Linked DNA regions of Mytilus edulis. Each later gene encodes a partner of the first gene's protein in a complex. Links are inferred from orthologs where the notes say so. Each region holds a gene or a part of one and is shown on either strand. Other genes may lie near its edges.

Region 1 (7,320 bases):
TCGGACAAATAAAATGTACTACAAACATGACAAAAAATACTAACAGCAACAGATGTACAATGGGCAATGAAAATATAAAAATAGTATATAAATACATTGAACTTGATAGAACAATATTTTGCCACTTTCACTTTTCAATTACTTTGTAGGTTTATAATATACATTCTTTCTCTATTGAATTGATGGACTGTTCAATTGCTGCAGCTGTCATTGAAATTAAAAGTAATAACAGGAATTAAAAGTATAATAATAATACAAATCTGCTTTATACATGTACATGTATGTATAACATATAACATATTGGTTATAAATACATTAGTCATATATACATTTTGTACATGAATAGAAAAGAATATTTTTTTACATGAACTTGTAATATTGTGTGGAAATTAAAGGAGTTGGCACTAAAAATCAGAAAATTTCTCACTGCAAATAATGTGGTGAAAATTTGATAAAAAAATAAATAATCAGGGTTCTCACTAGGAATTTTTCATGGTGAGTCCAGGATGCATGTAATATTATTTTTTGCGTCTTAATATAATGAAATATGACGAAATAAAACTAAAACAATGCATGTTAAATTGTAGTTTTTATTAGATATTTATAAAAATTATGATCTCTTAATAGTAATTGTTCATTACAAAATATATAACAGACTTCTTTCTTGGTCTATCAATTCTTGGTGTAGGGCCACATTTAAAACAAATAATTTCAACATCGACTCCATTAAGTTTCTTGTCAAAACAATGTCGACAATCATAAATCTTATAGGCAAAACAATGTTTTTGGGACTCAGGGGATACAATCAGGATGCATTCCTGGGACTCACAGTTTCAAAAATGACTTGTATACGCGTCTTAACGAGAACTCTGATTCATCGGAGGTGTCCTTTGTTATTCTGTGGTTTATATGTTGTTGTGTAGTATTATATTATTTATTTGTGTATTTCTCTATCTTTTGTTTATTTGTAATGCTTGCATGAAATGTTGTAATTTTAGCAATATTTTTAACATTGCCATATACAATGTAAGAGAGAGGTTCGGCTAGCCATTAAACCAGGTTCATACCACCATGTTTTCTTAAAATGTCCTGTACCAGGAAAATGGCATTTATTATTAATTGTTTTCATGTTTGCGTTCGTTTTTGTTGCAGTTCAGTTTTCTGTTGTTCCGGTTGGTTTCTTCTTAGAATGTCTTATAAATGTAGTCATATAGTTAATGTACATTTGTATTTCCCTGGTTTTGTTTTAGCTTAATTAATTATTGACTTTTGAACAGTGGTATACTATTGTTGTATTTATTTATATGTTATAATAAGTTCAACTTATTGCCAACCAAAGTAATAAATTTTGACTACAATATACACCTTTCAATCATACAAGTAGCGTTAGACACAAAGCAAATCAAGATGCACTCAGTGGGTTGAAAGATGTTTTGTGTCTAACCTCTGACAGTGTTCCTGTTTGAAGGATAAAATCTTAAAGACTTTAAGTAAAAATGGTCTGAATCGTGCTTTAAAATCTATCTACTTTGTCTTTGAACAGGTTGGGCACAAGTCAGGAAATGTGGGATTCAGGTATTCCCTGCTTTCAGACTTACAACAATGTATTAGATATGTTATATGACAAATGTATCTGTATCTGTATTGTTACGTCGAAGGAATTCTAGTCAAATTGGCACCTGGTTAAATCGGCACTTGGTCAAATCGGCACTTAGTCAAATTGGCACCTGGTTAAATCGGCACTTGATGTAGTCAATTCGGCACCCATGTTAAATTTGTTTAATATTTACATTGTATGTTGTGTACAAGATGTAAGTTTGTACTACAGGTTTTTTTTGTACAAGTTATAAGTTTTTTGACACACATTTTCTTACACCAGGTGATACAAGTTTATCTTTAAAAATGTTCTAGTTCAATGTTTTAAATTCAAATGTATATACTTCAACCTAACATTTTGTGCTATTCTCCTTGTCCTCACAATGGAAATGAGGATACCTGAATGGTTTAAATTCGAATTTTATTATTTTTTATTTTCTCCTGATACCATATATCCATAAAAAGTCTTTTTGTGGTAATGTTTTTGTATTAATTCTCACTATTAGATTGTATCATATAGTTGTGAAAATATTAACAGAAATATGCGAAACATTTTTAGAATTATTTATATATATCTGGGACTATTATGCTAGTATACTTGAATTACTAACTTAGCATAATAGTCCCAGTACCATATATTATATCAAATATTATTGGATGTCGAATTGATTTTAAATAGGTGCTGATTTGACTAGATGCCGATTTAACCAGGTGTCGATTTGACTTTTTCTATGGGTGCCGATTTGACTTGTACCCACCTCCAATATTGGCTTTTACTCGACGGGTATGATCTATTATCTAATATATAAACTTTGTTCTATTTACTTTAGCAAGGTTTTAGAGGAAAGTAAACTACATTTTAAATATCCAGTTCATTTGATTTTGCCAACTTTTCGTTCAGTTTCAATTACCGTACGTTTCTCAATTAACATGATTAAAGATTTTAAATAGCACAACCCTTTTTTACAAGAAAACTGTCAAACTATTATACATGAATAGTCTCATCTTTATCGATACATAAAATTTATTATGTCAGAATTAATAAGAGTCAAAAGGTTTTCCAACGAATAAAAATCAAACTCAATCTATACGAAATGAGTGAATATAAAGATTGCAACCTAAAAATTGAAAAATTCAGGTCAGATCATGTTTTTGTGGTAAACATTGACATTTATTTTGTTGTTTCTTACACAAAATTACAATTATTACAAGAATTGTGTATATCCTGTTTATTATTGTTGCACTAGACAGTGCGTAAAATTGTGAATAATATCAGACTTGTGATAAATGCTATTAAAACATGTGTAAATTTTCAAAACTTTACCTTCATCCGCCATTTTTGTTTACGTTTGGCAACCAGATATAACGCCTCATTCGATTGGTTGAAATATTATCAATGACCAACATCACTTTTATAAATTATATCTAATTCTGCTGATCACTTTTTATCATTATAAAATTAACATTGAACTCTTTTTAAATTGTCCAGTAAGACATAAACCACACTTTTTTTTAACAGTGATTATGACGGGGTGGAAAAAAGGGGGGGGGGCAACAAATTAATACAAATATCATTATTAAATACCGTTTCCGAGCATGACTAACATTGATGGTCTCATCTTTATTGCTACATTGATGTCAGAAGTTATAAGAGTTTTCCGACGAATAAAAATCAAACTAAGTCTATATGAGACAATATATGAAAATGTCTTATTTCAGTTTGGCAATAGGAAAAAAAATGTCTTTAAAACCGGTACTTTAACATAGTTTAAATAGCACAAATCGAAGAACACAAATTGAGGATCTAGGAACTGTTGTCTGTAATTCAAACAGTTTTCGACTTGTCGGCCAAAAAAGTAGATTGCTTTTTGTCAAAAAAGTTTGTCTGGACAAACTGAATCCATAGCCCCCCTTCCCCCCCGAAAATCAAATGGTTGCTGCCTAATGGGAATAAAGAATAAGTTAAAGATTCTATTTGTGGTATACTAGTATATCATGACAGAACGTAACAGAAAGGAATTACACAGTACTCAAGTTTTTGTCCTTTTATATGAATTGTGTTGAATTTTACTCCATCTACATATCAATTTAATAAGATACTATAAAAACACATTTACTGTTATATGGTGCTGACAATGAAATATTCTCAGAAGGTACACAAAAAGACTTTAACAGAAGAGAACAACAAAATTATTCTTCCTAAATTCTTTTCTTTGGGGAGTTAGGATTTTTCAAACTGGCTGCCAGTCACCTATACATATGGAGTCAAACATTCAGGAAATGATGCTATTCGCATTACATTACAAGACATCGAATTTTGGTCTTTCAAACGGTTCCACAGGTGAAAAAAACTTGTGGTAACAGGAGGGAAATTACCCCTTGAGACAAAATTTAAAAGACCCTTAAAAATGCAAAATTTTATCACATGCTTCAGTTATAACAAAATCAGACCAGTAAGGGACAAGTTTTCTATATGATCTATCATATTTGTGAAAATCGGAAGCCTGTTTACTTAATTTGGATATTCTTTGAATGATTTAGTTGTCAGATAACACCACCGGACAACAAGAATTTTTGGGGGTTGAATATTCAAATTATAATATTTTATTGGAAGAAATATAAGAAAGAGTATTTAATTGGCAATAGTTGGTGCATTATATACTCTAGTTAATACTGAAACTTAAAATTAAAAAAAAATCTGGTTGAATACAAAAATAGAGAGCCGTGGTGTAGTGGTTATAGTGCATCGGACTACTAACACAAAGGTTCCTGGTTCGATTCCCGTTGCGGGATGAAAATTTCAGGGATTGAATTTTCGGCTATCCCTTGTCACTATTTGCGAGTATGGTCTTGAGGAAACGATGATAGTCCGTCGGAAGGGGACGATAAATTGCTGATCCATGTTAAGAGAGAGCCATATCTCTTGCACGTGAACATGGTGAAAGACACTCTTGTAGATTTCGAAAAAGAGCAGGCTAATGTCGCTACAAGGCAGCACTCGCACCCGCAACTGAAGTGGAAAGGGATAAATATAAGTTGCATAAAACTTGTTTCCCAATCCACTATAAATAAATATGTTTAAACTAATAAAAAAATAATTGCTGGTAAAAGATGGAACATGGAAATATACTTTTGCAGATATCGTCTCATATACGAAATGAATCGATCAGTATGGCAACGTTGACAAAAAAAGATATGTTTTGCTATTAAAAAATCATTTTTTTATTATTAAGAATTATTTTATCTAATATTGAAAATGCATTTTCTAATATTAGAGATTGAATTTCTAACATTAAGAAATGAATTTCTAATATTAAAAATTCATTTTCTAATATTAAAAATTCATTTTCTAATATTAGAGAATGAATTTCTAATACATATGAAGAAATGAATTTATAATTTTCGGAAATGATTTCTTATTTTCGGAAATGAATTTCTCATATTTAGAAATTAATTTCTAACATGAAAAAAAGAAAAAAAAAACCCACGATTTCTTAATATTAAAAAATAAATTTGTAATATTAGAAAATGAATTTAAAGATAAATGAGATCATGTTTCCAGTGCTGGTAAACATTGGCAGTTCTTTTGTTGTTTCTTCAATACACATACAATTACAATTAATATATGGCACGTAACTGAAAAGTCTTTAAAAAGGACCAACCAGCAAATTTAATCAGCACCGAATCGAGTAGAATCGGCGATACTGCGCACATTAAGGAAAACAAATATTGGTCTAATAGTATTAAGTTTCTGGAACGATAATAAGATGAAGATGGTTGTCACTAAACTATTTTTAAATCGTCTCCGTTTAATACCATCTTATATTTATAGTACCGTTGCGCAAATCTTAGGGCTCTTGAATATTAATTATTCAGTAGTTTTAAGATAATATATAATACGACGCAGGCGTTACATGTGAAAGGGAACGAAGTCCGTATCATTTTTTTCTTCATTCTAACATATTTTAATGTTAAAAAAGAAACTGAAATAACATTGTAATGCTGGGTCTTCCAAGTGCTCCACAAAACCTCTTTCTAAATTCTTTACATAAATTTTTATCAACAATCAAAGCCGGACTTCAAAGTTATTGTGAAAGTTCATATTCTAGTGTTGGTGTGGATCACTAAAACATTCCAAAGATATCTTATAGCTCATACAGTCTAGGACTCATGCATCTTACAATTTAGTAATAAAACATTTGACTTTTTCTTTACTTTACACAAGTATTCCCCATTCCAAACTAAAAGACAAATTCAAACAGTTTGTCATGCTTTTATCTCATAAAAAAGAATGGCTTAAGTAGATCCACGTATCTTGTCTGAAGGAGGGATAAATTCTCGGATGAATCGTACCTTGTAAAACACCACTCTTATTCAAACAAAAAATCAATTACTGATATTGTCAAGATGCTTGATTAAACTTAAAGACAAATTGAAACAGTTTGTCATGTTTTTATCTCACAAAAAAGAATGGCTTAAGTAGATCCACGCATCTTGTCTGAAGGAGGGATAAATCCTCGGATAAATCATACCTTGTAAAACACCACTCTTATTCAAACAAAAAAAATCAATTACTGATATTGTCAAGATGCTTGATTAAACTTAAAGACAAATTGAAACAGTTTGTCATGTTTTTATCTCACGAAAAAGAATGGCTTAAGTAGATCCACGTATCTTGTCTGAAGGAGGGATAAATTCTCGGATGAATCGTACCTTGTAAAACACCACTCTTATTCAAACAAAAAAAATCAATTACTGATATTGTCAAGATGCTTGATTTCTTGATAGACAACATCTTTGTTACCTTCGGAGGACATGTTTTTCAACAAAGAATCCACATTTCCATCGGAACCAACGGTGCTCTCGTTATTGTCGACTTGTTCCTTTATTCATGAGGCTGGTTTTATGCAGGAATTTCCTTGGAAGAAAGAAAAACAGTATCCTTTTACTTAACTTTCCGCTATATATATACAGATCATGTTCTCTCACTTAATAAAAATTCAAATTTTGGTAACTGTGTTGAACGCATCTACCGCCCCCCATGGAACTTGAGATAAAATATACAACAGATACAGTAAATTCTGCTTCACATCTTGACTAACATCTAGGAATTGACGAGACTCGGTTGAAAACAAAACTGTACGACAGAAGAGATGATTTCAGCTTCCCAATTTCTATGTAACAACATTCCAGCAGCGCCTGCATACCGAGCATATATATTTCAATTGATACAATATTTCAGGGCTTGTGTTTCCGACCATGGTTTCATTGATAGAGGGTTGCTGCTCACAAGGAAGCTATTGAAACAAGTGTTCCAAGTGTCGAATTTAAAGTCTTACCTTCAAATAATGTACGGACGCCATTTCAAGTTAGTTGACCATTATAAAATATATGTTTCAGAGATTTGCTGCTCACAAGGAAGCTATTGAACCAAGTGTTCCAAGTGTTGAATTTAAAGTCTTGCCTTCAAATATTGTACGGACGTCATTTCGGGTTAGTTGACCATTATAAAATATATGTTTCAGAAATTTACGACGGATATGTTCCATTTGTCGTCATAACAATATTACTTTCTTCACATGTTCCCCAAATGTGTCTTACCGAATTAAGACGCATTACCATATTTGTCCTGACATTAGCAACACGACGGGTGCCACGTGTTGAGCAGGATCTGCTTACCTTTCGGAGAACCCAGCTTTTGATGGGGTTCGTGTTGCTCAGTTT
Region 2 (7,841 bases), on another chromosome or scaffold:
AAGTTGTATATATATATAGAATGATAGACTGTTTTAAGTCAGACCTGTATAACAGATTTAAATGAAGTGAATGAGAAAAATAACACCTGCCTTTTAGCAGGTTTATATGTACATTTTTTTTTACTTACAATTAGTTTCTATAAATAGATTATCTAATGGCTGACTTTTGAGTACAATAGATTCTGTAGAGTAGGGATGAGGTATAACATCTTCGTCTTTCTTGCCGTCTGGTGTTACAATATCTTCTTGTATGGTTGACAAGTCTGCAGCAAATGCTGCATCCATAAACTCATCTCCAACTCTAGGTGAGGCTTTCTTCACCTTTTTCTTCACTTTTTTTTTTGGTGTTGTCTTTTTATCATCTTTAGATATTAGGCTTGTTTTACTACCACCAACTTCCTGGAAATAAATCAATTATTATCATAAGTACAAATGAACCTGTTATTACTATTTCAGTTTGAAAGTTTCTTCACTTAAGAATTAAGTTCAAATTAATTATCATAACAGTAATGTAATCTTGAAAATTATTATTTGCTGCTTCTTCGATAATGTAGCTTTTACATGTACATGTAGGAGTAAGAGCAAAAATGGGTCAGTTCAAAGTCAGAAATATGTGTTGGGTACCTGGTAAGGTGATATATAGTCTTGCAGACTATTACCTTGTAAGCTACAAGTAGCATGTTAAAAATATTGCTTTAAAGCCTGTCAGAGTACAAGGTATGGTCTATCTTCATATCACTTTATCATATTCTCATCATGAATTATGAATATATGCATATAAATTCGTTACTGGACATTAAACAGCCATCCATACTGAAATCAATATACAAGTGAATCCCAATTTTTTATTTAATGGTATTTTTTCAGCATTTTTATTATTATTATACTAGCGCATTAACTATGTTGTTTGAGGCTGCCGTGTAGTAATATGAACCATTTCTCCAAAATTTGTTTATATCTGATAACTTAGTAACAGTTTATAAAATTATATTGAGACTCAGAGTTCGTTCTGTTTCTTGTGAAACTACAATGTACTGCCTTATCCAGTACTGGGGTTGCCATGTAAATGAGATCGAATCCAGGTACATTCGCGCCCATTCTGGTTCCACTCCTTTAATTTTCGCTCCCTATATGTTCGCTCCCAAAGTTCGTTCCCACCCTTTTTATTTGTTTTGTCAATGATTTTTATAGTAAAAATAAGAGGTTTTGTGTTTAATAATTTTGTAATAGAGTTCTATATAAATCTATATCATGTTTTGGTTAGTGAACATATCACTATTTCAAAAATAAAGTTAGATTCTGTCTTTTTATGGTTTGTTAAATAAATATTTATCATGTTTTGGTTGTGTATTGCTATAAGTATTTTTTTTCAATGACATTGAAATGTTTCAAAATAAAGTACCATTCTGACAAAGTTTTGTATTGAATAAATCTTAATCATATTTTGGTTATTTACACCAAAGTATAATAATTAAAACCACCATCACGATTTTCTGACACAAGACAATAATACCAAATTTAGCTGTGTATAAATACCAATTATCATCAAATTAATAAAAAAAATAAAACCATGTACAAAAACTGTAATAATTCCTCAATTTTTATTTAGGAAAATATAATTTATTTGCTTAATACAATTACATATAAATAAATATCTAATAATTGATCTGGAATTTGAATAAAAATTGGGCCTGAATGTGTACTATGGTGTAGGGTGCTAACAGACCCAGGGGGCAAACATGTGAGGTGCAAACTTGCAGGGTGTGAAAGTGTATTGGATGAAATGACATCCAGAACTATGCAAGTTGTTTGAATACTGCCAATTACACGGTATCGGGACCGTTCGCCCTAATGACATGTTCGCCCTAGGGTCGTTCCCTCTGAGTTCGTTCGCCCATAGTGTCTGTTCGTCCTACTATAAAAATATCAATATGAATTGAAGTTGAATAAATTTATTGAGATATTTCTATGGTACATGTACAATGTATATATATCATGTATATTCTTGATATTTATGGAAACATTGCAGAGTTTATTGCTTGTTTAGGATCATTAATTGTTTAAAGAAAAAATAATTCGGATCACTGGTTATTGTGATACTTGTCTTTTGATGGATTAATAATAAAAACAAACGTGTTATTTTGATAAAATATTCAGCTTGAAATTAATAAAAACAATTGATTACGGCAATATAAATATTCTGTCAATTTTTCAACAAACTTTAACATATTTTGTTCAAATACTTAAATAATGCAACTAGACAACAAATAGAAAAAAATAAAAATTGGGTGAATGGACCCTTGACGAACAGGTATCAGGGCGAACAGATACTAGGGCGAACATGAATCAGGGTGAACGGACCCAGATTCCAATTACACCACTACTTCAGTCATGTTTTTTTTTTATATAAACGAAGGAAAATATAATTGATTTCAGAAACAGATGATTAGAAATAATGGAAAAATTAATTTATCCTAAAGTATTCCCTAAAAGTTACTCATCTTATAAACCTATTCCTTATTCAGATGTTATTTAATGGTTATCCTAGGCCTTTTCTGGTCAAGTCCAAACACATCATTTTTTTAAATGTCTTTACATGTATCTTGTATATTTCGTATTAGAATGAAAGCAGATCTTTATGACAATAACCTCTTGACTAGCAGCACTTCTTGCTGATGTAGGTTGTCCATCTTCAGCCTGTTCTGGTGGTTTGCGTTTCTTCCTTTTCCTTGGAGTTGGTTTGTCTCCATCTTCTGTTGCAACAGGTGCTTTCTTCTTTTTAGGAGTAGTGGCTGTTGATCCGGTTTCGCCATTTTCTGTTGCTTCGGTTGGTTTCTTTTTCTTTTTTCTTACTGGTCTTTTCTGGACATCAGTTTCTTCTGATGCCTGTGTAACTGGTGGCAATTTCTTTTTCTTCGGAGGATTTTCATTGTCGGCCATTTTTGTATCCAATAAACAAAACAACTTCCGGTAACTTTCGGATAATTCTCTTCGTTTCGGAATCCACCAGCAGTCTTCCTAAAAAGTTGCAGGAAAATGTCTAAAAAGCATTCAGTTTTGTTTATTTGCCTTGGTAATCTAACTCCTTCTAACTTAGACAATTTGTTAGCCCGTAATAACTTATTTCCATCTTTTTAAAGGGTAAAAAGCTTTCACGATTTAATGAAACATCCAATCACCGTAAGGACAAATCGCCCCACACCAAATCGCCCCACTTTTTCACTAACTCGCCCCACTTTTAAAAAAATCGCCTCAAACTGAAAAGGGTTAAATTGCATTATTTTTTCTCCTGCAAACTCGCCCCACTTAATGAAAAGGTCAAATCTAGATGAATATATAATTTGCAGGTCTGCCAACTTGCCCCACTCAAAAACTATGAAGTGGCATGACTCAATTCATCAGGACTTTTCTATTTTCCATAAGTGGGGCAAGTTTGCAAGACTCAATTCATCAAGATTTTTCTATTTTAACAAGTGGTGCTAGTTAATTAGCATTCACGTCACAGAAATTCTGATACTCACTTCTTAATTTTTTTTTCAACAAAAAGAAAAGAACCACCAAAAAGATATAAGAAGATGTGGTATGACTGTCAATGAGACAACTCAGTCTCCATCCAAGACACCATTTGTAAAAGAAAAACCATTGTAGGTCAAAGTTAAGCGTCTTCAACATGAAAGTAGTAATGCCCTTTATCAACAGGCATCAAACAGTCATTTTCGGCTACCATAAGCGTCAAATTGGTTAAAAAAATTTTGATGATTTGTCAAAGATCTTTATTGTGATTCGTCAGCGGTCTCAAATAATTATTGTTACCGTCATTTTTGGAAAAAAATTAACGTGATTCGTCTAAATTAGTTACTATTTTTATCGACTCAAAGAAAGTACATTTAATCGTCATACACCAAAAATTTTCTCTAACGCCATTTGGCAAGAATAAGTACGGTTATTTGTCATGAAGGTACCCTCATTACTACCCTAACACCGAACAGTAAGCTAATAAAGGGCCCCCAAAATGACTAGTGTAAAACCATTCAGACGGGAGAAAAATGTTATCTAAGGTTTTCATAGGTATTGATTTTATTTACTTAAGTGGGAGAGGAAAATAGATATATATACAATGGGAATGCACCTTTTGCATCAAGTGGGGCGAGTTGGCATTACTAAATTCATCAGTATTTATCTATTTTTCACAAGTGGGGCGAGGTGGCATGCCTTATTTCAGAGGCTTTTTTTACCCATTTCATAAAAGGGAGCAAGTTATCCAACCTATTTTCAATGGGAGTTTACCCTTTTTCATAGGTGGGGCAAGTTGCACAGGCACTTGTCTCAGAATTTAATTTTCCTATATACCTTAATATATATATAGTGGTTTTTTTCTTAGACAAGTGCCTGTGGCAATTTGGTAAACAAAAGTGCGATTGTTCAAATAGTGGGGCGATTAGGTGTGGGGCAATTGCCAGTGGGGCGATTTTTCATGGATTCCAATCACCATAGATTACCAGTTTCATAATAAACTGCCAGGACCCTCATTCGGTGACCACATATATTTTGATTCTAGTTTTTTCACATCCAAAATGAAAGCTAAAATTAATTGCTTGCTACCCTATATAAAGAAAAGAAAATTTTTACAGTGATGAAAGAAAATCTGCTATGTTGTAAATTTAGTGGGAAATTTTTTACAAAGCAATCATAAACTAAAACTGAAATGATAAGATTAGAAAAAATTGTTTTGATTCAGCATAAGTAAAATATACATTACAAGCTCTAACCTGGAGCTTTTGACCAATTATATTTATAAAAGTGCAGTTTTATGTACAATAAAATAATATTGAAAGGGGTGTTCTTAATATTACACTTTTCCAAAATTTTGTTGCAATCTTAAATTTTGATTTATAATACAAAGAACTCTCTGAATGTAATTTTTCAATAAAAAAAGAACATGCAGCACCATGTACAAAAATGTATGTACTTAGCAGATTTATTCACACCCAATTGTTAAAAACATTTTTTACAACACATTTTTATAATCATGAAAATGAACATGGTGATCTGTAAGATGAAAACACATATGATTGCATGCAACTGTTGTCTGTCGCCTATTGAAAAGCTAAAATACTTCCTTTAAAACTAGTATCCAACTAGTTGGTCATGTTGATGAACAAATAAATGTTGGACAAAACAACAATTGATTCTCTTATGAAATAAAGTATCATACATGTAAAATAAATACCACAAAAAATAATTATTATGAATTGACGGTTTCATTCTCTAAAATCAATTGATGCTTGGGATTGTAATCTTAATATTTAATGAAAAGCCAAGTGAATATATTTGAAATTAAATCACTTAGAACTGTTTTCCTGATATATAAAAAGATATAAAAAATAATGGTAATGACTAATATAATTTGAGAATATCTTAGAAATTTTTTTTTTGGTTTATATAACCGCCAACCTCATCATGCATATTGAAAACAATTTATTATTTAGATAGTATCATTAGCTCAATCCTTTGTGGAACCATACAACATTGCTGTACTTTTAAATACAAAATTTATATATACATTTTGTTTAATATGCTGTCTGACTCTGATTCAAAGATTTTAAAACAATAAAAAAAGATGTTTATATTGAAAGCATTAATCATGTTAATTTTAAGGAATTAATTCCTTTTAACAGTAAAGTTTGACTGAACTGTAACAGACTGAAAAAGTAGATTTGTGGAAATATCAATGATAAAGAAACTAATAGAAAAAAAATTAAGCATATTTCATATAGGAGGGGGGATCAAACCTTTATTGGGACTCCAGGATCAGCTGTTTTTAACCTTGGAATTTCATGATTGATCCTTTCAGGATCTTGTAATTCCTTTTTCAAATTTTGGGATGTCAGGATTTAAATTTCTTTAAATTCAGGACCTCTGGAATTTATGTTTTTAAGCTCAGGATTTCGGGACCAGGACCCCTCCAACCCCCTCATATAGAGACTGAAGGTTACATTGACTATATTAATTGAATGTGTGATTGTTTTGATTTCTTGCTGTTTCATTGAATCTAATTTGTTGTAAGCTTCACATCCCTTTTTAAACATACTGGTAATCTTTTCATTTTAACATAATTTTATCATTTCAGTGTAAAAATGACTCATGCAAATGAATATAAATAAAAGGAGATATGGGTTATACACAGGGGTCGAATTTAAGCTTTTTTGTGTACTGGCCAGCCGGACCAGTGGACTAAAAACTCTACTGGTCCGGCTCCAAATCTACTGGTCTTTTTTTCACATGTTGTACAGTTCATTAAATTCCGATCTACTATATAATTCAACCATTCGCGATCTTTTTCCCATGATTTTTATACGACCGCAAATTTTGAAAAAATTTTCGTCGTATATTGCTATCACGTTGGCGTCTGCGTCGTCGTCGTCGTCGTCGTCGTCGTCGTCGTCGTCGTCGTCGTCGTCGTCGTCGTCGTCGTCGTCGTCCGGCGTCCGAATACTTTTAGTTTTCGCACTCTAACTTTAGTAAAAGTGAATGGAAATCTATGAAATTTTAACACAAGGTTTATGACCACAAAAGGAAGGTTGGTATTGATTTTGGGAGTTTTGGTCCCAACATTTTAGGAATTAGGGGCCAAAAAGGGCCCAAATAAGCATTTTCTTGGTTTTCGCACTATAACTTTAGTTTAAGTTAATAGAAATCTATGAAATTTTGACACAAGGTTTATGACCACAAAAGAATGGTTGGGATTGATTTTGGGAGTTTTGGTCTCAACAGTTTAGGAATTAGGGGCCAAAAAAGGGCCCAAATAAGCATTATTCTTGGTTTTCGCACAATAACATTAGTTTAAGTAAATAGAAATCAATGAAATTTAAACACAATGTTAATGACTACAAAAGGAAGGTTGGTATTGATTTTGGAAGTTTAGGTCCCAACAGTTTAGGAATTAGGGGCCAAAAAGGGACCCAAATAAGCATTTTTCTTGGTTTTCGCACCATAACGTTAGTATAAGTAAATAGAAATCTATGAAATTTAAACACAAGGTTTATGACCATAAAAGAAAGGTTGGGTTTGATTTTGGGAGTTTTGGTCCCAACATAATAAGGGGCCCAAAGGGTCCAAAATTAAACTTTTGTTTGATTTCATCAAAATTGAATAATTGGGGTTCTTTGATATGCTGAATCTAACTGTCATGACTGTGTATGTAGATTCTTAACTTTTGGTCCCGTTTTCAAATTGGTCTACATTAAGGTCCAAAGGGTCCAAAATTAAACTTAGTTTGATTTTGACAAAAAATGAATCAGTTAGGTTCTTTGATATGCTGAATCTAAAAATGTACTTAGATTCTTGATTATTGGCCCAGTTTTCAAGTTGGTCCAAATCGGGGTCCAAAATTAAACTTTGTTTGATTTCATCAAAAATTGAATAAATGGGGTTCTTTGATATTCCAAATCTAACTGTGTATGTAGATTCTTCATTTTTGGTCCTGTTTTCAAATTGGTCTACACTAAAGTCCAAAGGGTCCAAAATTAAACTTAGTCTGATTTTAACAAAAATTGAAATCTTGAAGTTCTTTGATATGCTGAATCCAAAAATGTACTTAGATTTTTTATTATGGGCCCAGTTTTCAAGTTGGTCCAAATCAGGATCTAAAATTATTATATTAAGTATTGTGTAATAGCAAGTCTTTTCAATTGCACAGTATTGCGCAATGGCAAGAAATATCTAATTGCACAATATTGTGAAATATCAAATTTTTTTTTAATTAGAGTTATCTTTCTTTGTCCAGAATAGTAAGCAAGAAATATCTAATTGCAAAATATTGTGCAATAGCAAGATTTTTT
Region 3 (7,246 bases), on another chromosome or scaffold:
TTACCAACATTTATCACTGATAAAGAAAATTTATACTGTTACCAGGAACATATATATTGTCAGATAAACTGTTCCCAGCTGTCACATTGTATTGGATTTTGACATTAAAATTGGTGTACAAACTATTTTCTGCTTTTTCTTTCTTTTACATATATGTTTTGGTTTTCAATTCTAGTGTTTATATTTCTTTACCATGCAAAGATGTATTTTGTCACCTGTCTGAATTTTTTTTAGTTAATAGCCAAAACCCGGGATTACCCTTATCCGTTTCCGGAATCGGATCCGATATTATAATTGTCTTCTCGCGGCAGCCATTTTGTTGTTTTTGACAGATAGTGAGATACGATTTTACTCGGATTTACACATTATATGTCGGCGATTTTCTGTATAAAGCTAGCAGTTGAACAAATTGAACATCGCTGTCATAAATAGTAATGATTAAAATAAGTTTGTGATCGTTTATTAGATCGAAACTTTGGTAAAAACGTTTGCAAAGTTATTTTTATTTTCTTTCAAGGTCCGTCGGGCATGTCGGGCGTAGCTAGTAACCAAGTAGAAAGTCCGACTGCAAAAGTGGAATGTCGCAGACCTCGGACAACCGCTTATTTGAACCCCTGCGTCCAAATTGAAAAGATACGAACATTTCGTCTTCTAATTCAAAATTGCCGCCAACAGCGTGATCAGTTGGACTTATATTAATAGACTACTGATGTAGTTGACTACGTATTGACGACAAACAATATTCCTACGACTTTTGCAATTTGGGAAATCTTAACCACTTGTCTTTAGAGATTTACGGCGATTAAATATTTCATACATTTGTTCTTTGACATCATAGCCAAAAGCTCAGGGGATAATAAACTACATAAGGATTCCTAATGTGCTCTACTTTCTATGTGCAACTTCAAAACTTTTGGGAAAATCGACGATCATTTAAGGTTTTTCTGGTCATATTTTTTGTAATCCAGAATGAAAAGTATGAAAAAACTGTCCAATAAGTTATAAATAACATAGTAGCCAGCTAGATGATAACAATGGCACGTATTTCAGCATTTATTGGGTAGAACACAAATCCAGGGTGCTCGCATAAGGCAGCTTAACTGCCTAAAAAATCACCAACCCATGAGAAAAATTATCTTCTTTCTCCGGCTGAGTGTTATGTGTATTCCTTTCGACAGTAACCAAATTATATTCAAAAATAAGTTTTTCTGTGGGTTAATGTTTTAAAGTGCGTTTTTTTTTTAATGTCTTCAAATGTTTATCATCTCAATCAATGAATATTCATACACCTTTAATAAGTAATGTCTTCGTTCGCGTTTCTGAATTAACATCATAACATCAACATTTTGTTGTTAAAGTTTAGAAGAAATTCTAGTATTCTTAATTACCGCTGTCATCCTTAACTTCACACGTACCTAATAACCCGGCTGGATACCAAAAATCAACCATGGCCAGATGACCAAGTTAATATTTACCTTTCTCAACGTTTCTTTGATGTCGACATTTTTATTACCTAACTTAATTTGCACATGACCTTGATTAAGGAAAATTAAACAAGGCAAAGATTGCAAAGATGTGATATTGTATTCTCACTCAGTAAGTCGTCTCCGTTTCTACTACAGTAGAAAGAAAGAAAAATGAATGAAATAATAAGAATGGTTTTAATTAATTTTTCTGCAGATTATGAATTAATTATATACACAAGAGAGTGAAAGAATTGACTTTTAAAGCGGAAATTTGTAGGCTAGCTGCATATTAAGTGTAAAGATTAATATGGGGACGAAGTCCCCAATAACAGTAGAAAATTCAATAAAAAAAAAAATTCGGGAAAATTTCCCGAATTTTTCATTGTACTAATGAACTCAAAATCGTTCAATTTTTTTTATGTCATGTTTTGAAATCCCGGACATGCGCAGAAATGTACAATGTACTTCCTTTTTCCGGTCTCGTTTGTATGAAACTTTGAGTAAAATATATATTTATCAGTCTAGTATAAAATAGGAAGGAACGCGCAGTACCAATTTCATTTTTAATAATTCCTTGATATGAAAAAAACGTTACCTGATGATAGCGTTTCGTTGTTTACATTGCATATGACGTCATAATTTAAATAACGTCACAACTAAAATCCCTAACAACAGAACCAAAATCGGAAACGTTACGGTATTTCCGTTTCTTTTTATTTTAACAAATATTTAAGTTACAAAAAAATAATTTATACTGACTTCGTCCCCATTTACAGGTAATGCCTGCCTCATATTAATTATTTCAGCTTTTCAAGTTACGATTTTAACAAACCTACATCACAACAAGTACACGAAAAAAAATACACATTAATTCACGATGAAATTTTATTAACACGATAACCATACTAACAATGTTTCACCGCCTTATCAACGGAAATCGGCGTTACTAAGAAAGGGAGAAAACTGATTTTAAAAATGCCCGTATGTTCGGATAACAGAATTTATTGGATGTCAGTCCTTAAAACTTTTCCGTTTGAACAGGTTAGTTTGTACTCAAAGTTTGTTTTAAGGTGTAAATAGAGCCATTTCAGCATTTGTTATGATGAACATGTCTTGTTTGGGCATGATCTTACCATCAGAACTAACAGTCATAGAAGTACTATTTTCTGGACACGTTAAACATTTCAATGATGATGTTTGGTAGTATTGAAAGAACAGCCCAGTTTCTTTACAATCAGTTATGTTTTCAAAAGCTTTATATTGAGACTGACAACGAACAACAACAAAAATGTTCAATAGTAAGATCAACTTCGCGCACTTGTCTTCCATGATTGTTGTGAGCTGTTGTTGTCGAGTAGTCAAGATCGTCAGAACGCTTTTTATCACATAAAAATGTATTCAAACTATTCAAGCCTTTATTGATATAGTTATGAAATTTTTAAAAATTCAAAAAACTTTTCTTTGAAATTGGTGAATGTAATAAATCACATCTGGTTATTTTTGCCATTTCAAATGTAATTTTCAATTCACTAATATTTATCCCGTTTCGGTGACTTCCGGTTACTTTTTATCATTTGGTCGCCATTTTTACAGTAAAACAGCAAAATGCTACATGGAGAAAAAGATCGTTTTCACGTAACCAGTGACTTGCTTGCAATAACTACATGACCAATCTGTTAAACAATACATTAGGTACACTAAAAATTCATTTTAGCCGCTAATATTTCCTATACAATGTTATTTGCAGACCATGTTTTCCATGCAAGTACGCGTGGTTTTCTGATTTATCGACACAGCTTTACCGTAAAAAGTACTGTAATGGCATGTTTAAGTGGGCACGATTGGTCTCAATATGTTAGGGTACAAACGTTCACATGCGGTTAAAATTCCCTTTATATATGTAAGTTCTGTGGAAAAATTGCATGCAATGCCAATGTAATGATGTATTGGAAAAGTTTCGTCCATGGTTGATGGTTCCATGTCGGCCTTGGTCGTTTCGGCCATGTTATAAAAGAGTTCAATTCAAATAACATTTTATGTAAAGAGATTTTGCTGTATATTCCGTTTCAAACGTGAAAATTACTTATTTACAGGTGTTGACATGAAGTATAATTGATAATTATATGATTTGTCCATAATTTAAAACAAAGGCAACAGAATCGAAGTATACTGCTGTTTAAAACTAAAGTCATAAATCGAATGAGACACACGAATCTGGGGTTACAAACTAAAACCGAGGGAAACACATCAACTACATTGTATAAGAGGAAAACAACAGAAACACTGAAGTGCAACAAAAAACAAACGACAATGCAATATTTACGAATAAACAAACTATTCGATAACAACTGCCATATTCCTGACTTGGTAAAGGACATTAATTATAAGAAAAAAATGTAGGTTGAAATTGGTCTTGTGGCTAGCCAAACTTTATACTTACACATGTTCAAGGCAATGTAAATATACCCCTAAAATGACAACATTACATGACAGGAAAACAGTACAAATAAATGCAAGAACAAGGACAGAGAAATGCAAACATAAATAATATAATAGGACATTTAGACACGTTGAACACAAAGTTACAGAATATAAAAAAATACGTAAAATAATTTATGTGTCAGAGTACAAAAAAAAGCATTTATCATGTTTATGGTACTGCTACTGTTTACCAAACTTGGTATTTTTGTACATCTTGGTTTATAGAAGTGAAAATATATAAGGCTCAATAAAAAAGAATTAAAAACTGTCTACATGTGGCCTCGTGAGCTTTCAAGAATTTTTGCCACTAAACCAGTTGGTAGCCCGTCTGTTAACCCTAAAAACATGTTCACCCAGAGTTTATTTGCCCTTGGTTTTTCAGTCCATAGAGTACTGTATTCTTTCACCCTACTATTATTTTAACATGATTAAAATCATGGTACTATTTTTAAGATTTTATTAATAACATGTAAGTCTGTTTTTCTCCTATGATAGTTTTGTTCATCTTGGTCAAAGTTATAAATGTAAGAGTATTAAAAATTAATATACCAGGGAACAGGATTACACACTGAAACAAAATGGGATTTAAACATGGTGAATCATTACAAGATAAGTTTTCATAGACAAAGTAATCCAACTACAGCAACATATCTAATTTTGCATTCAAAACAAAATTTGTTTGTGTTGCATGTTACACAATCTTAAGAATCAAAGCACTCTACAAATTTATTTACAAAATAATGCCGCTCACTTCTGCAGTGATCACCCATACCCAAACAGCTAAATGGGACCCATATTGATTTTTTTTTTTAAAAGAAGTCAGACAAAATTAAATTGACAAAGTAGAATCCTGACAGCCAATTCTGGTCATTTTGAAATTTTATAAATTTAAGGCCATATTTGGCCTAAAGTGAAACTTGAGCTTGCCTATCATGTCCATTAACAAAAATTGTGAATATCTTGTTTTAAGTAGTTTAATGGCTAAGTTTTATTGCAAAACTTTTGGACATTGTAAAATAGACTTTTTTTACAAAGAAAATGGTTTTGTTTTATCAAGAACTTCATACATATTGTATAATACTATAATAATAATTGCTATAGAATAATGGTCTTCCAGTACTCTTAATTTCATCAACAGATGAGAAGAGGTAGGAGGGGTCCTGATCCCGAAATCCTGGGCTTAAAAACATGAAATCCTGAAATCCCAGGCTTAAAAATGCGAAATCCTGAAGTCCCGAAAATCGAAAAAAAGATTTCCCAAATCCCAAAAGGGTCAATCCCGAAATGCCAAGCTTAAAAACACCCGATCCAGGAGTCCTGATTAAGGTCCTATCCCCCCTCACAGATTGTAAGCATGCCGTGACCTTAACTAACTATAAATCTTTCATAGAAATTTTGGAAATAATGTAATGTAAGAACCCTAAATCAATGTTAAAAGAAGGTAATGTTAACTGATTCTCAAAAAAATTAATTAAATATGATTGATAACCCTTAATTGAACAACTTATGACAAACTTCAATTTGGAACACATTGAGAACATAGAAATGACAAGTAAACATTGCACTGTGACTGTCATCAACGGCTCTTAAGAAATATTTCTGCCAGCTGGTCTATTTATGTCTTACCTCAATTTTAATCCCTTAAGACTAATTATATACATGTAAATACTGCAACGTAAGCTTAAGGTAATCATGATAATCAGTTGGGCATCAAATAAACAATGATGATTGTCAGACATAAAAACGATATTAAACTTGAATTTATATGATACAAACTCAATGTACTGACTAAAGTTTTTAATTGACAATTCATCAATCAAAGTATGGGAAATACAACATAAACATTTGTACATGCTTATACCTACCTTGCCCTTAGAATCTTTATTCATGCTAAATAATATTTTCAAAAAAAACTTTACTTGCATTTTTCGAAATCACATTTACTTATACCAAATGTTGACTTAGTTTAAACATATTTATTTATAGTGGATTGGGAAACAAGTTTTGCAACTTATATTAATCCCTTTCCACTTTGCGGGTGCAAGTGCTGCCTTGTAGCTGCATTAGTCTGCTCTTCTTAGAAATCTACAAGGGTGTCTTTAACGTGCAAGAGATATGGCTCTCTCTTAACACGGGTCAGCCATTTATTGTCCCCTTCTGACGGACTATCATCATTTCCTCAAGACCATACTTGCAAATGGTGTCAAAGGAGAGCCGAAAATTCAGTCCCTGAAATTTTCATCCCGAACGGGAATCGATCCAGGAACCTGTCAGTAGTCTGATGCACTACACCACGACTCTCAAAATGTTGACTTGACAATCATGACAATGTAGACAATGGTAAAACACGGACCAGGGTATGTAAGGAAAATCCTAGATAATCCTTGATGTTGAATGAACATTAGTAAAAAGCATGATTTAAGTTTAAAGTAGATCTTTCAACATTGTTTCTTCCAAAAAAAAATACAACCAAGAACAAATGTTAATGATTCTCAAATTATTTGAGTGGAAAACATTTATTTGCACAGATTAATGGGAGCATTTTGTTAACTTTGTCACAATGCAAGCATTGCTTTGACAAGTCATACTACCAGAAAGTAATTAACCTTCATTAAAACATCAATGAATACATTAATATTGCCATAACCAAAGTACATCCTCACTTACCTGAATCGTTCTCAAATGTATAATATAGTGTTTAAAAGACTAAAACAATGCAAGAAAATCCATGAAATAAGGTGAACCATGTCACCCTGGATATTGCACAAATGCCATGGTAATGGATTGAAAACTGGGTACAGAAAAACTTGGATCTTTACCAATAAATCATTAATGCCTTGTAGTTTTCCTTAAATAAGAAAGTTGAAATCCCTATCATCATGATAACAGATCTCAGAACCTACCAATCTATAATGGAAACAGCTACAGTCCTCAGAGAATGCAAGGCAATCAATACAAAATATTACAATGAATTAACGATATAATGAACACTATCAAGCACTCATCTCTGCTCCATTCAGTTCTATATTTTGCACCTTTTGTTCTAGGAATTTATGTCAAACAATGAAATTTCTGCCTCCACAACTATGTATCATGATTAACCCTTAAAAAGGATTTTAAAACAGATATGTATTTAAATCAGATTTCCAAGGATGCAATAAAAAACTTATATAGAATTTTAATAACCCCTACTAATTTCAACAGTGAAATTTTTTGATGAAAATTTATTGAAACCTTGAAATTTACAGGGAAAATACTCCCACTGCTGTGAAAAATCTGTTAAGAAAGTATCAGTAATG
Region 4 (7,391 bases), on another chromosome or scaffold:
AGCATATTTCAGACGAATTGTGCACATTCTGCTACAAGCATGAAATTTGGCATAGACCTTCCTCAACTATTACTCTTTTATTTCAGATAGGGAGGCATTTGAAAAAAATTGTCTCACTTCTGGTAAAATCCAAAATGGCAGACTTCATACTTAAATCAGCCCAATCTCTTGCACGTTAAAGACACCCTTGTAGATTTCGAAAAAGAGCAGGCTAATGCCGCTACAAGGCAGCACTCGCACCCGCAAAGTGGAAAGGGATTAATATAAGTTGCAAAACTTGTTTCCCAATCCACTATAAATAAATATGTTTAAACTAAATCAGCCCAATATCAAAGGCTAGTATTTGAAAAGGTGTTATTATCATGCTACAATCATAATATTACAAATCTTTGTTTTGTACTACTTTTTGGATATATTATATTGTTTAGATGTCTGCAAAAATCCTACTTCCAGTAAATTCCAACATGGCGGACATTGTACTAAAATAAGCTTATTTTTTAGGGAGGGTAATTGAAATGTGTTTAAACGTATTGCTACTATCATTACATTATGCAGGAACCTTTCTTTGGTGCTTCTAATGGATACAATGTATAAAAAATCTGTCTTTAAAACCCCCTACTTCCAGTAATATTCAAAATGGCGGACATAGAAATATCAATTCATTATTTAAATATTCAACTCCCTAAAAAATAAGCTTATTTAAGTACAATGTCCGCCATATTAGATATTACCGTAAGTAGGGTTTTTCAAGACATCTAATCTATATAATGTATCTAAAAGTAGTAAAAAACAAAGGTTTGTACCAAATATTATGATAGTAGCATGATTAAAACACCTTTTCACATACTAGCCTTCGATATTGGGCTGATTTAAGTATGAAGTCCGCCATTTTAGATTTTACCAGAAGTGCGATATTTTTTTCAATTGCCTCTCTATCTGAAATAAAAGAGTAATAGATGAGGAAGGTCTATGCCAAATTTCATGCTTGTAGCAGGATGTGCACAATTTTTCACCAAGCCGTCGTACTTATATAGGTTTATATTTATACTATAATACATGTGTAGGTATGTCTATAGCTACTCAGTGAAAAATTACAGTTTATTTATTGAATACTTATTGGCTTTACTGAGAGATACAATGAACTTGAGTACTAGCTCTGATAGATATCTAGGCAATCAATCAATGGAATATATTATATTCATTCTTTTGATGTGTTTGAACTTTTGATATTGCCATCTGATTAGAATCCAGGTCCATTCGCCCTAGTACATGTACCTGTTCGCCCTGATACCCTTTTGCCCTGATACCTGTTCGCACAGGGTTCATTCGCACTGATTTTTATGTTTTTCTAATTGTTGTCTAGTCACATAATTTAAAGTATTTGAACAAAATATGTTGAAGTTTGTTGAAAAATTGACAGAATATTTGTATTGCCGCAATCAATTTATCATTTTCCCTTTGATTTGCAGAGTAGAATACTGGAATACAATGTATTTATCTTTATTGATATTTGTTAACAAAATAATTGTATTCAGTCAACATGGTCAATCATGAATGTATACAGCATAACTGAGACTAGTCTCAGAGTATAAATAAAAGAACTTGTAAATCTGTTTCATCATTTACAATGTTACAGCTCGTACATTCATGACATTATGGCTTAAAATTATTAATTACAAGCTGAATATTTTATCAAAACAAAACGTTTGTTTTTATTATTAATCCATCAAAAGACAAGTATCACAATAATCAGTGATCTGAATTATTTTGTCATTGAACAATTAATGATCCTAAACAAGCCATAAACTTTTAAATATTTCCATGTTTCCATAAATTTCAAGAAAATATATACCATAGAAATATTTGAATAAAAGTTTATTCAACTTCAATGCCCTGAATATTAATATTTTTTTAGTAGGGTGAACAGACTCCAGTGGCGGATCCAGAACTTTTCCTAAGGGGGGCCCGCTGACTGACCTAAGGGGGGTATGCCCCAGTCATGCTTCAATGATTCCCTATATAATCAACCAAATTTTTCGCATGAAAAAGGGGGGGGGGGCAGGATCCGCCTATGGACTCTATGGGCGAACGAACTCAGAGTGAACAGACCCAAGGCTAACATGTTAAATTATTATTAAACTATTTTTGCTGGCACTCTGGCATGGCAGTAAAATCAAAGATATGAAACTTTGAAAGAACTAAAATAACTTGTAAATAATAACCAATAGAAGCAGAATTGTTACAGATTTATTTGTTTATTTGGTTATATTTTTTTTGAGGATCATTTTCATTTTTTCACAAGATAAACACAAATATTTTTTTGTTCAGAAATTCGCTATATTCAACCAAATTAAATTACAAAAAAATATTGTTTGTGTTCACATCGAGAGAAAACAAAAACACCTGAACGCTGAAGATAAAAGTATAACCAAATAAACAAACATTCTTTAGACAATATTCTACGTCTTTTAAGGCCTTGTTGATCAAAATCCAATCATAAACAGGTTATTCCTATAACCACCAATTGGTGGATTATACGTCAATTGAGGTATAATCCACCAATTGGTGGTTATTCCTGACCTGATAAATGCCCTATAAATATTTTTTTTTAAATGTGTTTTCTTTTAAATATATAGCAAACAAAATGCCTGTGACAAATACTTTTGGTCAGGTACTGTACAGATTATCGGTTTTAATACAAATGTATGCTTCAATTAAACCACAGATTTCTCCTATAATGTTTTGTTTGATATGCTGACTTTTTCTTAACATGAACAGGCTTGTTTTGAGAATTTGTTTTATTTTTTTCAGGTTTTATGGAAAGTGTTTAGAAGATTATAATGGTTTTCTTCCAAATTTTACCTCTCCGGACTCAATTTGTCCACCAACCATTACAAGAAATACTGAATTTGCTGTCATTTTTGTTTTGTTTGTGTAGTCTCAGTTTGTGCAGATCACTTCTATGTTGACAGACAAAATAATACTGTACGATACTACAAAAGGTATTCCGAGCGGGTATCAAGGTATTCCGAGCGGTTGATATCCGGCATTCTCGGCCCATTAAAAACTCGGACTATTACAAAATCGAGCTTTAAACAAAATCGGCCAACTGGAAGAAATTAGAATATACATCTAGTATGATAAAAGTTGTATAACTAATACAATATTATTTTGATATCATGTTTACATTTCAACCCAGGGTTTTTCTTTTTGCCATAAGGTGTCTTTCCTAATCTAATTTATAAACTGATAATTCTTGCATGTAAAATATAATTTATTTTGAACATTTTTAAAATGTTCAAAATAAATTATTCAATTATTCTAACTAGAGTTTAGATATTGAATGACAACAACTTTAATAACACTTTAATAACACAGGTCCTCGGGGGGGCCACTTGCTATATAATTAGTGGTAGGGATGAGCCGCTGGAATAGGTCACTTTTTCATGCTCTACGATATATGAAAAGGGTGAGAAATTCAGATGAAATATATCAATAGGTTGATATTATCACTTGCTTGATTATATCATAAGTATCTGAAACTAATCAGATGTCCGTATTTATTTTTGATGCGGTTAAACCACAGTCGTAAATGCATCAGTTATTTGTCAAACCAATTAAAATCTATTTATTCTGATGTGGTATTTCCACTGATGCCAGTGATAGATGCAATAAATCCAACTATTTTGACATTTGCACCTAATTAACATTCAAGGGTTTGTATACATAAAACATGATAACAATTATTTAAATAAATTCCATTGTGACAGCGTCCTTTAAGAGGGAAAGGCAATGAAACTTTTTATCAGTTTTAAATTAATATTTTAGCATGTTAAAATCAGTGAAGGTGTTACACTCTGCATGCTCTGGGGTGATATTACATTTATCTGACCACAGATGTAATACCATCTATGATCTGACCAAACGTCTTTTATATGTATTGTAATTTGGAATTGAAATATCTTTATAATGAAAGATGTAAAACGGCAATAAGAAAAAAGTGTTTAAGATGTGACGAATTTTTTGGAAAAGAAGGTGATATTATTGCGACTATTTACAAGATGATGAGCGGGGAAAATATTGGAAAATATTGAAATATATCTATAGGTCTGTTTTTTGTTAATTAATATATATGACAAGGTATATATTTTTGATTAACAAAATATATGAAAAGGGTGGGGTACTTGATGTCTCAGCTGCTCACCCCTACCAAAAAAAGTTTGAAGTGGCCCCCCCGAGCACAGGTCCTAAACAAGAACACCAGAAACGACACAGCCCTAGACCTTTTGTGTATGACCAATCCATCATTTGTTAATAGAATCGAAACATTACCACCAATCGGAGCAAGTGATCATGACATTGTTTACATAGAAATAAACTTAACTCTGCCGCAAAATAAGCAACAGGCTCATAAAGTACTACACTACAAATTAAAAGGCAAATTGGGAGCAAATAGAAAAAGATCTCACTGAAACATACAAACAACTAAAACAAGATCAAGATAATTAATTAAAATCTCGATGAACTTTGGAACCACTCGGTATGGAACACGTTAAAAAAAAAAACATCCAAAAATCTATTACCAAGCATATTCTAACAAAAAGCATTGGTAACAAATCAAAACTACCTTGGCCGGTAAATAACCAACTTAAAAAGCTCATTTAAAAGAAAAAGAAACTATATAAAAAGAAAAAGAAAAATCACAACTTATAAAAAAAAAACAATACCAAAAAATTAAAACCAAGCTCCAGAAAGAAATGAGAAACTCATACTGGCAATACATAGAAAATATGATTTTCGATATTGAAATAAAGGAGCCATATCAACCATGCTTCAAAAATACACCTTAAAAACTGTACTCTTACATCAAAAGCCAGAAATACGAAAACAGTTTCAGTCTGCATTTACATCTGAAGCAAACACTAAGTAACATTCCAGACAAAAGTCCTAGTAAATACCCCATAATGATACCCATTAAAATATCTAGGGATGGTGTTTACATAGACAATAATAGTGCATTGACTTGACATATCAATGATATAAGGATGAGGCTTAGAAACGGGGAAATGCGAGGCTCTGCCGAGCATTTTCCCCGTTTTGGGCCGAATCCTTATATATCGTTGATATGTCAAGTCAATGCACCATTATTGTCTTTATACTGCAATCTAAAAAAAACATTTTCAATTGTTGTTTATTGTGTTAATGTTATTTATTTGATTTAAATATTGGGAAAAATCCCCCTTTAAAAAGGCCTCATATCACACAGATGGAGAAATATAAAAACACGATGAAATGTACATCGATCATTACCGCAATCAATGATGAACGAATTCGTTGCAGACTAAAATATCATCAATAAACATAAAACATAATGATTTATAGGTTCCAAACAAAAAAATATTAATAAGTGAAATATGTTTTCCCAAAAATTGCAAAAGAAACAAGTTTGATTCGTTAAACGCATCGTTGTTTACATTGGAAACAAGAACAGGTTGAAGAGGTCGTATGAATAATTAAATACAATTTCGACAATTTCTATTTTTAAATATTCATGAGGAAAAGTGATATCAGGTCAGTGACCGTATATGGCATAGAAATATACAGTCAACGCATTTTGACTGCTCAAATAGAACGAGTGCAGTATAAAATTAAAACTAATTAAAAACATAAACCCGACTAAAGCTACCGGTCCTGATACCATCGCAGTCAAAGTACTTAAACAAAACATCGGAATATGTAGATATCCTCACTTTAATATTTACAAGATCAGATTCACTACAAACAGGCAAAGTACCATCTGACTGGAACCATGAAACTGTCACACCCATGCCAAGAAATTGACACCGTTGAAATTCTGCAAATATCCCATAGAGCAAATTACATGGATGATTAATATTGACCATTTGGTATATGGCCGTGTTCTTAGCGAGTACATAAAGGTCATAAATTAATTTGTTGAATGAAATTAAATCTGTATCTACTAATGGGTGCCGTAGGAGGTCCACCGAAATTTTTAGCTAGGATTTCTTGGCATGGATAACACAATAATATGAACCCCTTGCAGAAAGAAAGAAAGAAAGAAAGAAACACACATTAATCAATCAATCATGTTTCTTAGGTAAAAAAAGGGGGGGGAGACCGTTTACAATTGTTTTTTTTTTTTAAAGCAATTGATTTATATTGTAAAACGGCATACATGTATTAAAACTTCACAAAACAACATGTTGCAGCTACCTCGATCCCCGGCAAGAATTTCCGTAGAGAAAACTGAGAAATTGCAATGCCGTAAAAATCGCTTGTTGGTCCGTTAATCTCAATGAAATCCTACAATAAAATGTCTGCTCCTGTATTATAATAAAATCTGTGTTACAAGCTGCTTTTGAGAAATGTATATTGTAAGAAAATAATCAATAATCGTGTTTTAAAGTTACACAGGATAAATTAAATCCAAAGCATGCACTGCTCGTGAACTGTGATCGAAACGTCAATTTCCTACAATGACAAAAGAAATACATCGTGTGTATTCCCTCGTTATATACATGTTGTCGGTCTCCACCTAACAGATGTAAACAGAAAGAAATAAACTAAATTTTCACTATTATAAAGCCTCTTCACGTGACGCCACAACCTAGCGCGCGGGACCTAAAATAAATTAAAAACTTTCCTAACTAAATGTAAAACTTAACAGTGTATTTAAAAAAAGGGATAAATATTATACAACCCAAGCAACTATAGGCCTATATCCTTAACATGCATAGTTTGCAAATTACTCGAACATATCTTTGCAAGCAGCATTTGGATGAATCATCTAAAAACAAACAACACTCTGTATGAATTACAACATGGATCCGATTTAGGGCAAAACGATCATGTGAGACCCAAGTTATCTCACTGATTCATGAACTATTCCAAAACAATGACAAGAACATACAAACAGATCTCATAATCATGGATGTTGCTAAAGCTTTCGACAAGGTACCACTGACAAAAGATTACTATACAAAATGAAATACTTTAGAATATTAGATCAAATCATTAACTGGGTTGAATACTTTCTTTCAAACAGAACCCAAACAGTACTTTTAGAAAACATGTCATCTTCAAAAATACCTCATCAGGTGTCCCACAGGGTACAGTGCTAGGACCAATACTTTTCTTAATAAACATAAATGACCTCCCAGATTACATCCAACATAGCAAAATCAGACTCTTCGCAGATGACAATATAATCTATTGACAAATTAAAACTTTAAAAAACTGTCTTAAGCTGCAGGAAGACCTAGAAGCAGCCATACAATGGGGAAAAGATTGGCTTATTACTAACAATGACCACTGCCCTTTTCTCGATCTTGATATCTATATCACTAATGGAAAGCTGAATACTAAAATTT

Evidence for each region.
Region 2: jouberin-like (region 1) and transmembrane protein 237-like share a complex: the UniProt entries of both Homo sapiens proteins name them as parts of the tectonic-like complex. The link is inferred for Mytilus edulis from reciprocal best matches to the Homo sapiens genes AHI1 and TMEM237.
Region 3: jouberin-like (region 1) and meckelin-like share a complex: the UniProt entries of both Homo sapiens proteins name them as parts of the tectonic-like complex. The link is inferred for Mytilus edulis from reciprocal best matches to the Homo sapiens genes AHI1 and TMEM67.
Region 4: jouberin-like (region 1) and B9 domain-containing protein 1-like share a complex: the UniProt entries of both Homo sapiens proteins name them as parts of the tectonic-like complex. The link is inferred for Mytilus edulis from reciprocal best matches to the Homo sapiens genes AHI1 and B9D1.

What each region holds. Positions count from the first base shown.
Region 1 is NC_092344.1:20,716,292-20,723,611, forward strand, and holds the start of jouberin-like, read right to left. Parts: upstream 3,013-7,320; 5' UTR 2,934-3,012; coding exon 2,921-2,933; intron 1-2,920. UniProt on the Homo sapiens protein: Involved in vesicle trafficking and required for ciliogenesis, formation of primary non-motile cilium, and recruitment of RAB8A to the basal body of primary cilium.
Region 2 is NC_092350.1:20,110,221-20,118,061, reverse strand, and holds the start of transmembrane protein 237-like, read right to left. Parts: upstream 3,014-7,841; 5' UTR 2,941-3,013; coding exon 2,650-2,940; intron 400-2,649; coding exon 129-399; intron 1-128. Other genes in the region: low molecular weight phosphotyrosine protein phosphatase-like, read left to right, coding at 3,037-3,073. UniProt on the Homo sapiens protein: Component of the transition zone in primary cilia. Required for ciliogenesis.
Region 3 is NC_092348.1:16,559,104-16,566,349, reverse strand, and holds the start of meckelin-like, read right to left. Parts: upstream 3,002-7,246; 5' UTR 2,796-3,001; coding exon 2,600-2,795; intron 1-2,599. UniProt on the Homo sapiens protein: Required for ciliary structure and function. Part of the tectonic-like complex which is required for tissue-specific ciliogenesis and may regulate ciliary membrane composition.
Region 4 is NC_092352.1:63,763,120-63,770,510, reverse strand, and holds the start of B9 domain-containing protein 1-like, read right to left. Parts: upstream 3,020-7,391; 5' UTR 2,920-3,019; coding exon 2,863-2,919; intron 1-2,862. UniProt on the Homo sapiens protein: Component of the tectonic-like complex, a complex localized at the transition zone of primary cilia and acting as a barrier that prevents diffusion of transmembrane proteins between the cilia and plasma membranes.